2 linked regions of the Caenorhabditis elegans genome follow. The protein of the gene in region 1 interacts with the protein of each later gene in a biochemical or structural test. Each region holds a gene or a part of one and is shown on either strand. Other genes may lie near its edges.

What was found.
Region 2: of the proteins of famk-1 (region 1) and clec-233, one has a biochemical effect on the other in vitro, tested with the Caenorhabditis elegans proteins (one study listed by BioGRID).

What each region holds. Positions count from the first base shown.
Region 1 is NC_003284.9:15,208,693-15,215,299, reverse strand, and holds famk-1 (Extracellular serine/threonine protein kinase CeFam20), read left to right. Parts: upstream 1-2,040; 5' UTR 2,041-2,067; coding exon of another isoform or gene 2,068-2,100; 5' UTR 2,101-2,122; coding exon 2,123-2,216; intron 2,217-3,278; coding exon 3,279-3,558; intron 3,559-3,652; coding exon 3,653-3,862; intron 3,863-3,912; coding exon 3,913-4,005; intron 4,006-4,086; coding exon 4,087-4,199; intron 4,200-4,261; coding exon 4,262-4,415; intron 4,416-4,464; coding exon 4,465-4,607; intron 4,608-4,908; coding exon 4,909-5,205; intron 5,206-5,314; coding exon 5,315-5,469; 3' UTR 5,470-6,011; downstream 6,012-6,607. UniProt on the Caenorhabditis elegans protein: Golgi serine/threonine protein kinase that phosphorylates secretory pathway proteins within Ser-x-Glu/pSer motifs.
Region 2 is NC_003283.11:16,232,072-16,235,700, forward strand, and holds clec-233 (C-type lectin domain-containing protein), read left to right. Parts: upstream 1-1,852; coding exon 1,853-2,209; intron 2,210-2,255; coding exon 2,256-2,566; intron 2,567-2,609; coding exon 2,610-2,790; 3' UTR 2,791-2,827; downstream 2,828-3,629. Other genes in the region: gst-22 (glutathione transferase), read right to left, coding at 41-200; F21H7.3 (Serpentine Receptor, class E (Epsilon)), read right to left, coding at 624-837, 886-1,184; srh-98 (Serpentine Receptor, class H), read right to left, coding at 3,100-3,164, 3,232-3,629.

The sequences.
Region 1 (6,607 bases):
TTTCAATTTTCTTAACAGCTCACATCGTAAAAAATGCATATAATGCTTTAAAATCACAACTTTTTTTATTATTATTTTTGATTAAATCACTTTTCCCGTTTTCTATAAAACTTCATCTAAGACTCAGATTATATTTCCTTTTTTGAATTGTTAAGTAGTTTCCCTGTTCCCCAAGCCTAGTATTACATCAATCTCCCGCCCACATGCACTTGCAGGTGACTAAATAATAAAAAGTTCCACACCATTTGAAACCGAATGCTTGAACCAAGTAACCTTTTGCAATTGCAGATCATTTGAACCTTGGGTAACATTCAATAATTAGAATTAGTTGGCATTATATTTAAAAAGTTTAAACATCAGTTAACTGTGTAATCAATTTTTTTCTTCATCTTTCTTATCATATAGTTTTTGTTTTGCTTGAAATTTGTTTTTCTCTGATATCATCATTCTGACTACAATTTGAGAAAGATTATTTTTTCTTGATCCAATGTTTTTATTTTATGGTTAGAAAATAGAAAGAAAAAATCTTTAAATTTTGAATCAGATTTGGAATTAAAATAGAAATATTGAAATTTCAGATTCGTACTTATTTTTCATATTTTTCTCTCTATGTGCAATGTTTAAAAGTGGAGTAGCGCCAGTGGGGATTGTTTCTAAATAAACCTATAATGATCCAAAACGACCAAATATCATAATCAACCACTCCTTTTTTTTCCGGACAAAGTTCTGGAAAATTGACAAATTTTTGAAAAATATGAGCTTTTGAGGAAATCCAAAGCAATGTCGTATGTTTTGACTCTTACAATGTTTAAATCCAAATAAATAAAACAAAATTACAATATAAAAAATGCAGAAAAACAAATTTTTTTTTGGTCGAAATCCAAAATTATGAGTGGCAAAAACTGAGTAATTGTCACTTTTTGACAGTAAATAAAAAAATTTTGAAAACTTTTTTGAAAAGTTTTATTATGATATTCGGTTATTTTGGCACCATAGGAATGGTTTTTAACAATTTCCCCCTGGCGCTACTCCACTTTAAGATTTTAAAAGCTTATGTAAAACCACACGTTTGATCGTAAAACGTTTAAGCCTAGTTTATTTGAGCAGTAAATATATCTGCATGGGAGCAAAATTGATTTTAATTATGAGTTTTTTTTCAAATTAGTAACAAATTAACAAACTTGAATTGGTCCGATTTATAAATTTTGATAAAATAAGTGTTGTTTTTCCAATTAAAAAAACTATTTAGTAAAAGTATTGTCGTTGATTTTTCCTCGTCGCTAATTGAAATTTCCTGTCAAACTTACAGTTTTTGTTTAATTTTCTACATAAAATATTCTCAAAAGCGAACCAAATTTTCTGTTTTTTAAACGGATAATAAATCAAATTTTGGTGCTCATCTCTTATTAAAGGCTCATAATATACATATAACGGATCATTTCTAGATGTGGGATATCAAAAATCTCAATCTCGTTCTCCACCCTGACCACATCCCAAATGATGACCCAGCTAATTTTCCAAAAAGTCCCATTTACCACCAATAAGTTCGGTGACGCAAGGTGGGCAATCCTCCGTCAATTTCTTGCTTCCCAGCACTTTACGAGCAAACACACACAGCGACTCTGCCGAAGAAACGAACCACACACACCTTTGACGTTCCCAGGCCCTTCCCTCCACATCATTCGCCGATGTTTACAGCCTCTTCGCCTCTCCAATGTTTTGTCGTTTTTACAATATACAAGGTGTGCGGGTCTGTCAGTTTAGGAGTGGATGGAGGAGGAGGAGGTGGTTGATGGCGTGCGTGTGGTGATGTTTCTCGAAAACAGTGTGGCAGTTTCTTTTTCTCTCCCCCCACTTGCCCTCTTCTGTCCATTAGAAGAAACTTTAATTGAATTTATAGGACTAGAATTGAATTGTAATTGGTATATATTGCTGGAGTAAATTATTAATTAATCGCTTTGATCTCTTGTTTCCTCATTCTACCCCATTATTTATCTATAATAGCTTATGAACCTCACCCCATAAATGCTCATTTTGCAGTGTCACAAAACTGGGAGCCGGCGTTTGATGAAGCTGAAACCAGCAAAGAGCAAGAAGTGAGACGAGAAAAGTCCAGAAAGACATGCGGTGCAATATAAAGCGATTATTCACTTTGGCGATCGGAGTTTTTGCGGCTACACTGGTTATAATCTCGTTTTCCAAGGACAACTATGAAAGTAAGTTCTAAAATTGTATATGTGTTGTTTATTGGTTGAAAATGATTATTTGAATTCGCTAGAAAGGAATAGTGGCGATAGCAATCGATAAAACAAGAGAGAAACTATGCCTAAATGTGGCCTATAACATGTGGGAGTTTTGTGACAATTTTGTCTTTATTGTCTATATGAAAATTTAGATCAAATCTCAATTTCCGAAAAAAATGGAAAAACTTTAGACATCTTTGAATACTATTTTAATCAACACTTTTCCACAAAAGTTTTTATATTGTTCCTAGAAAAGTATTAAAAAAGTAGTAGAAAACTTTTTGACAATGACACGTTGGAAAAAATTACAAAAAAATGTTTATGAACTTTGTATTTTCTTGAAAATCTGGCAGTTTGCCAAAAATTTGATTGCAATTTTTAATAAGTCTGAAACGTTCTACATATATAGATTTTCGTAGTTTACCCATTTTGATAATATTTTTACTAGGCCTATTCGAACTTTATAATATTAAAGGCGGAGTAGCGCCAGTGGGGATATTGTCTAACTACACTAATAATGATCCAAGAAGACCGAATATCATAATAAAACACTCCAAAACATTTTTAGATTTTTTATAATTTCCGATCAAAGTTTTGGCAAATTTCCACAGTTTTGAAAAATATGAGCTTTTGGTGAAATCTGGAGCAACGTCGCATGTTCCGACCCCTGCAATGTTTAAATCCTAATAAATAAAACAAAATTAAAGCGTAAAAAATGTAGGAAAAAATAATTTTGGTCGACTTCCAGTATTATAAGTGGCAAAAACTGAGTAATTGCCACTTTTTGACAGTAAATAAAAAAATTTAGAAAACATTTTTGAAAAGTTTTATTATGATATTCGATCATTTCGGCATTTTAGGAATAGTTGTTAACAATTTCCCCACTGGCGCTACTCCACCTTTCAATTATCTCTCTTTTCTAACAGTTCTTATGATAACTATATTTATTAAACTCTGGGCCTGTATGACTAAGTTGATAGTTTTAAACAAACCATTCACAAGGTTTCTCCTAAATAATCTTGCATCCATTTTCAGGAGAATGGAAACAAGGACCTCAATCAAACGAAGCACGAGCTGTAGGCCACCAGAGTCCCGACTTGTTTCCAGTCGGACAAAATAGTCTACCACACCAGCCAATTCCTCCAAGCCTTGGCGAGAAGGATCTTAGTGATCCATTCAACTTCTTGTTTTCATCTAACAAAATCACTTTACGCAAACTTTATGATCTCACTAAAAATGTAGATTTTGATCAGTTAAGGCAGAACGAGTGCAAGAAGAACATCACGCTTTCAAAGTTCTGGGAGAAGTCTGAACAGTAAGTTTTATATTTTGAAATTTCAAAAATTGAAAATGAAAATGAAAATTTTAACACCAGCTGCCAGCAAAAAAAAATCTCATCACTGTTTCAGGAGAAATGTGCCGGAAGATGACAACTGGGAGAGGTTCTACTCAAACATTGGAAGTTGTTCGGTGTACTCGGATGATCAAATGATTGACAACTTGCTGCACGATCTCAACACAAGTCCCATCAAACACGTGCACATTATGGATGGAGGCACTCAAGTGAAATTTGTGTTCACCTTCAAAAACGATAAGCAGGCCGTGTTTAAGCCGATGAGGTTTGATGAACAGAGAACACCGGAAAATAGTTGTTTTCTTTCTTTTTCAGATTTGGACGCGATTATGAATCGGATCCGAATCATTTCTACTTCAGTGATTTTGAACGACATCATGCAGAAATCGCAACTTTCCATTTAGACAGGTTAGTGGATTAAATAATGGATTTGTTTTTGTTAGAGATGGTTATCAATTTTTTTTTTTAAATCGGTCAGTTGAATTTCAGAGTGCTCGGCTTCCGACGAGCAATCCCCACCGTTGGACGAGTTCTCAATATGACAACTGAGCTGTTCGAAAAAGCAGAGAAAAAACTCAAGAAGACTTTCTTCTTCTCTCCAGGTACAGTTGACATCAAGACACCAAACCTGTTCACCACATCAATTTTATAAAAATAATTCCAGCCAAAAACTTTTGCTTCGTGTCACGATGCGATTATTACTGCGACACGACACATGCAATTTGCGGTCTTCCTGATATGAAGGAAGGCAGTGTGCAAGTGTTCTTACCCGACGAGTCAGCAGTTCCTCGGAAGCATAATAGGAGTCCGTATAGACGGTAGGTTGAAGGCCGATGGATAATAAAATAGCTAGCAGACTGTTTTCAGAACCTACTCGAAAAAGAATCAAGTAGCTGAATGGCAGTCGAGTATGAATTATTGCACGGATAAGGTGAAAACCAAGCGACAATATGCTCATGGAAGAAGGTTACTTGATCTGGTTGATATTCATATTTTGGATTATTTAATAGGTAAGAATTTGCAGTTGTCAAATTTTGAACATAAAAAACCGGTGGTGTTTGCACCCTCCGAATGGATGGTAAATATAGAATAACTGTACGGAATTTTTTTTTCGTATTTCTGACAGTGCTACGAGTATTAAAGTTTCATAACTGTTCTGTATGAGGAGAGTAATTGAAAGACAGCAACTGTACAATATAGAATTTGCTGCTCACAGTGCTTTTTATGGACCTCGTTCAATGTCGGGTGCACATTTACCACAAGTTTACTAACATTTTATTATTAACCAAAGACTAAACTACAAACATCCAGGAAACCAAGACCGTCATCACTTCGAATCCTTCAACGTGTTCAACGATCTTCCTTCCTATGCGATCCATCTCGACCATGGTCGAGCATTTGGCAGATCTGACTTTGACGATGACGACATCATTCTCCCGCTCCGACAATGCTGCATCCTACGTCCATCCACTTTCCAGACCCTTATGAATTTCTACAGTACACCAAAGTCACTGACGAAAGCCCTACACGAGTCATTATCGAAAGATCCAGCCCATCCGATTTTGGCTTATAAGCATTATCCGGCAATGGAAAGGCGGTTAGCAAAAAGTAAGTATTGAAATTATATTGAAAGGTTACCGAAAAACCTGAAAAATATTTTCCTGTGAAAATTCCAATTTGGGAATACAAAACTTAAAGAAAAAAAAACAATTTTCAGTTATGTCTCACATACTGGAATGCTTCGAAAGCCGGGGAGTTGCCGAAGTTCTAGTTGCCGAGTACAACAACCCCGATGTCTCAGACGCCGAGCAAAACGACGAAGAGCAAAGCGAGGAGCATCAGGATAAGAAGGATGATAAGAAAACTGTTTAGTCGTCATTCGTTAGGTCTTCTCAATTTTACCAAGGTCATGTAGTAGCATTTTAAATTTCCCTCTTAAACTTCAATGTTTCTTTGCGTTGCATTCGGGTCTCGAGCTTCTTTCACTCTCTGTTATTGTTGTATTTTTTCTTTTCACTTCCCCCCGTTTTTTAAACCCACAAGAAGGTATCCCATCCATCGCTCCACGGTTTCTCTCTGGTCAAACATTCATTTATGAGGGTCATATTATGTAGGTCAAATCAAAAACAAATCGGTGTTATAATATCGAAAAAATTTCTCGAAGAATTTGAAAAGTAACCTGATAGTTGTTTTGTGTAGAATTTCTGTTGAATATTATGATTATATATTCTCAGCTCTTTTTTTGTCATTTCTTTTTTTTTCCTATTGAATATCATACTTCTTTTATCAAAAGACGCAAACTTACTGGGTATATAATTCTCGCTGAGCAATGTGGCTGCAGTGCTCCATTTCTTGTCAAATCGGTTGTTTTTTTTTCTACTTTCAGGACGAATCATAAATGTTGTGATTAAATTGTTCTGTGTTTTTTTTTTCATTTCCAGTACAGGAATTGTTATTTTCAGAGATCAAGTTTCAAGGAATTTTTTAAAATTTTTTTAAAAAAATTTTAGTTTCAAGTAATTAAAATTTTGACAAAAAGTGGACCCTAATGACCGAATATAACTGTTCAATATTGCTAACAATTTTCAAAATTTCAAAAAAAATTTCAAAATTTCAAAATTTTTTATGATTTTTCAACTTTGCAAAAATTAAAAAAAGCGGCCAAATTAAATTTAAATTCCCGCGCAAATGAGTGACGTCATTTTCAATATTTTCGCGTTTTCTGGCTTAATTTACCAGGTTTCCTTGATTTCATCTTCTGCATTTGAGTTAAAATTCTGTTAGTCAATTTTTCGAACACTTTTCTTTAAAAAAATATTATAAAAAATATTAAAATTGTCGATTATTAGGTTGATTTTGAAATTTCCGCTTTACGGAAAAGTAATTTAAAAATTGACAAACGGTGTTTCTAATCAAATGCTAAAGAAAAAATCATGAAAAACAAATGCATTCAGCCAGAAAACGAAAAAATATTAAAAATGACGTCACTCGTTTGCGCGAGAATTCAAAT
Region 2 (3,629 bases), on another chromosome or scaffold:
AAAGGTGGACTATGCTCAGTGGGCTATTAGTTTGACTCACTGTCTTTCAACGCTGAAAATTCGTCACTTTGAAATCCCGGAACAGCATTGATCGTCGGCAGTCGAACATCCTCATATGGTACCCCACCAAGATGGAATAACATTCGTGCTGACTCTCCAAACCCACAAGCATCAAAGTAAGTCAGTTTGTAAGAGGGCATATTTTATTTGTGAAGTTAGTTGAATCAATAAAGAATTTATACCTTTACCAACCTTTATCGATGACTCTTATCGCGATTGCAACTTTTCCCCTTATCGCAAAAAACTGCAGAGACAGTTCAAAATGTGGAGGTATTATGTGAATATTAAGAAATCATTGCATGATTCATACCTCTATTAAATGAAATCATGATTTTATTATATTTTATTGGTTTACATATGAAGACTGTACTAATGGGTGATACTGTCTGTACGATCTTCAGAAATTTTTTTATGGATTTTTAGCAGAAAACGAGAGCTGTGATTGAACAAAAAAAACTATTCCTTTTGTTTTTGTTAAAAATTAAGTGTTATTTTTAATTGCTTGTAAAAACAATGTCATGTCGGCAAAACAGATGCATTTTCAAATTATACAATATGTTAAATTATAGAATATAACTATACAACCACATTGTAACTTTTCTATCAAACTTTGCTTTACAATTCATGCAAAATATATAAATAGTCCCTATCAAGGAGACTATATAAGTTATGGAAGCAATAATACAAAATCCGGAAACCGAGAAAAGAACAGAAGATTTGCATAAATAAATCGGTCGGCCGAGTTGTTCATAGCTCCAAATAGCTCCAAGGGCAACCCTGAAACTTTTCTAGTTTTTAGACATTTGTAAATTTGAAATCAATTACGCTATTAACATGACTCCTTCCAACGCATATTTTATTGATATCCACCAAAAATTTTCGAACCAGTTTTTCTTTCTTCCATCTTGCGGAACATCCTCCATGAGTTTCTTCACTTTATTGAATAGAATTTTCCAATAAATAATTCTATCAATAATAATTAAAATACCAACAAAAATAAGCCATAATGGAAGAAGCGGGTTCTCACATTTTCCTTGGTTTTTAAAGCCGATTGATAGGAACCATATTGGAATAATAAGGAAGAATAAGTTCAAAATTACCAAGTAACAAATATGGTGTGTCATGGTCGAAGAGAAAAGTTGAAAATAGGTTGAATTAGTTGTGTCAAATTGTTATCAAATAGAGTGGTATCAATCACTTCCTCAGTCCCTGTGTTCGCGGAACTTTTGAATGAGTGAGAAAGAGAGAGAGAGAAAAGAAGAGAAACCAAATTTTAGTCACAGATTACACTAAAGTAAGAGATGAATAATGTATGTTAAGTGTACTGGCATTGACCTACGGGATTAAACTATCAGGATTTGTAACTTATTCTAACCCATGTCAATGTTCTGAGACTTACATATCTGCCCGCGCTTTCTTCATTTCGAGTCACCAACATCCTATATACCGTGAGAAATACATTCAATATAGTTCAAATGTGAATACAACACTCCAAGAGTTAACATTTTGTTTTAAAGTATTAACTGTTTTACCTTTCTCCTTCGGCACAAAAATCCTGTGAAATCTGGAGACAGCTCAGAAGAACATCGACATAGAAAAAGGCTCTAAGACCCCCGCTCTAGTGAAAGTAGATGGCTTGAGTTCAAGAGACCTAATGGTTTTAAACTGTAATTAATTTTCTTCTTCAAGTTCACTGCAAAATTATTTTGAAAAACATTTTAATTGTAAGATGCAAACTAAACTCAAATATGTTAACCACAATTTTCTGTTTTTTTACAATCCCGGTTTGGTGATGCCGTTTTATTATATTTTTTATTACCAACCGCCTGTTTCCTACAAAAAGCAAGAGTTTCTGCGCCGGAAAGTCAGAAAAATGAGGGTTGCTATTCTATTCCTCCTTTTTGCAACTTCTACGCTTGCAATTTTTATTGACGGTGGAGGGCGAGGTGGTGGAGGTGGGGGAGGCTATTACTCCCACTCTTCGTCTTCGTCTAGCTCATCGTCCGAAGAGCATGGCCATCATAGACCGCCACACAGGCCCCATAGACCACCACATAGACCACATAGACCACCAAGACCCCCACCAAGACCTGAGTGCGATGAAGGATGGCTTCGTTTTGAAAGACCTAATGGTGTTTGGTGTATTAATGTTAGTTTTTGGCTTCATTTACTAAAGATGACATACATGTTTTCAGGTTGTTCATAGTGGAGTAACAAATGGGTATTTCTCTCAGCCACAGGCTCAAGCTGCTTGTTCTGCGTCGGGAGCTACTCTAACCGGATTCCAAAATGACAATGAGCGTATGACAGTTGCCTCTGAAGCATTGAAGAAGCTCACCGCAGCTGGCGGCCAAATTGCCGGGCTTTGGCTCGGAGCAACTAACACCCCGAATTGTAAAGTTGCAAGCTGTGAACCATATGCAACTTACACCTGGACCGATGGGGACACAACTGGCAATGGAGGATTCAAATGGGGACGTGACGAACCTGATAACCTGAATTGGCCGTAAGTAAAACGTTTCAGAATTAAGTTTCATAGAACAAATTAGAGGGCCCACGATCTGTATTCAACAATTTATTATGCAACCAAACTGGGTGGTGGGGCCAAATGATTACGCTGTATGGAAAAACTATTTCACCAATGGAGATTTAGACAAGTACCAGTGTGGCGCACAAGCATACCCATTTACAAGAATGTACGTATGTGGAAAGAGGGGTGTATCACGTTAAACGTTAAGCATGCCAATAAATTATTCAAACTTTCGTATTTTTTTGTTGTAATTGTCTAAGTTAGTAGAGTATACCTGGTCTCTCGCAAAACTTGTTCGATGTCGGCTGCAAACGGAACAGACGGGTTTAAAAGTTCCGTTGTTCAAATATCAATTTCAGACTACACATGCGTTATATAACGTACATATTCATTCCTTCACAATTACTAAAAAATTAAATCTTCTACAAAGAAAAGTGTACAGTACGCATGTACAACTTCCTCACTCTCTATTTACTGCAGCCGACGCTTTGCGGATTGCGCCGTCGCATTCAACAGCGTGATGTATACCCGGAAGTAACCTGCACTGGGATTGATTGGACTTTAGTGTTACACGCTGAAAAAAGTTGCAGTTGATGATAATTTAAACTGCTTCGAAATTTCATTTTGAAAAAAGTTCTTACGTTGGTTATACCACCGATTGATCATTAATTTCATGGCATTTCGATAATGTTTGTGAACCGATAGTATCACAATACATTCTACAATTCCGTGCAATGCAATACAATCCACTGCAACGTTCATCAATTCTTGAGAATATCGGTTCAAATATAAAGAAACTGCGACAAGAATCACAGGAAGCGTCATGAATGAGAACAGTGTAAAAATTTGGAGCAAAGTGCCAACAAGGAAATTTCTTTGATAAAGTTGAGTAGCCATGGAAACGGATTTCGGAGGTGCTATATAAAGGTAGTACACAGTGCACCAGATATGAAATAAAAAATGAGCCAGTGTGTTGAGAGCAAAAAAAGGTATATAGACGTAAATAACCAAGTGTAGATTATTTGTATTGGATATCAAA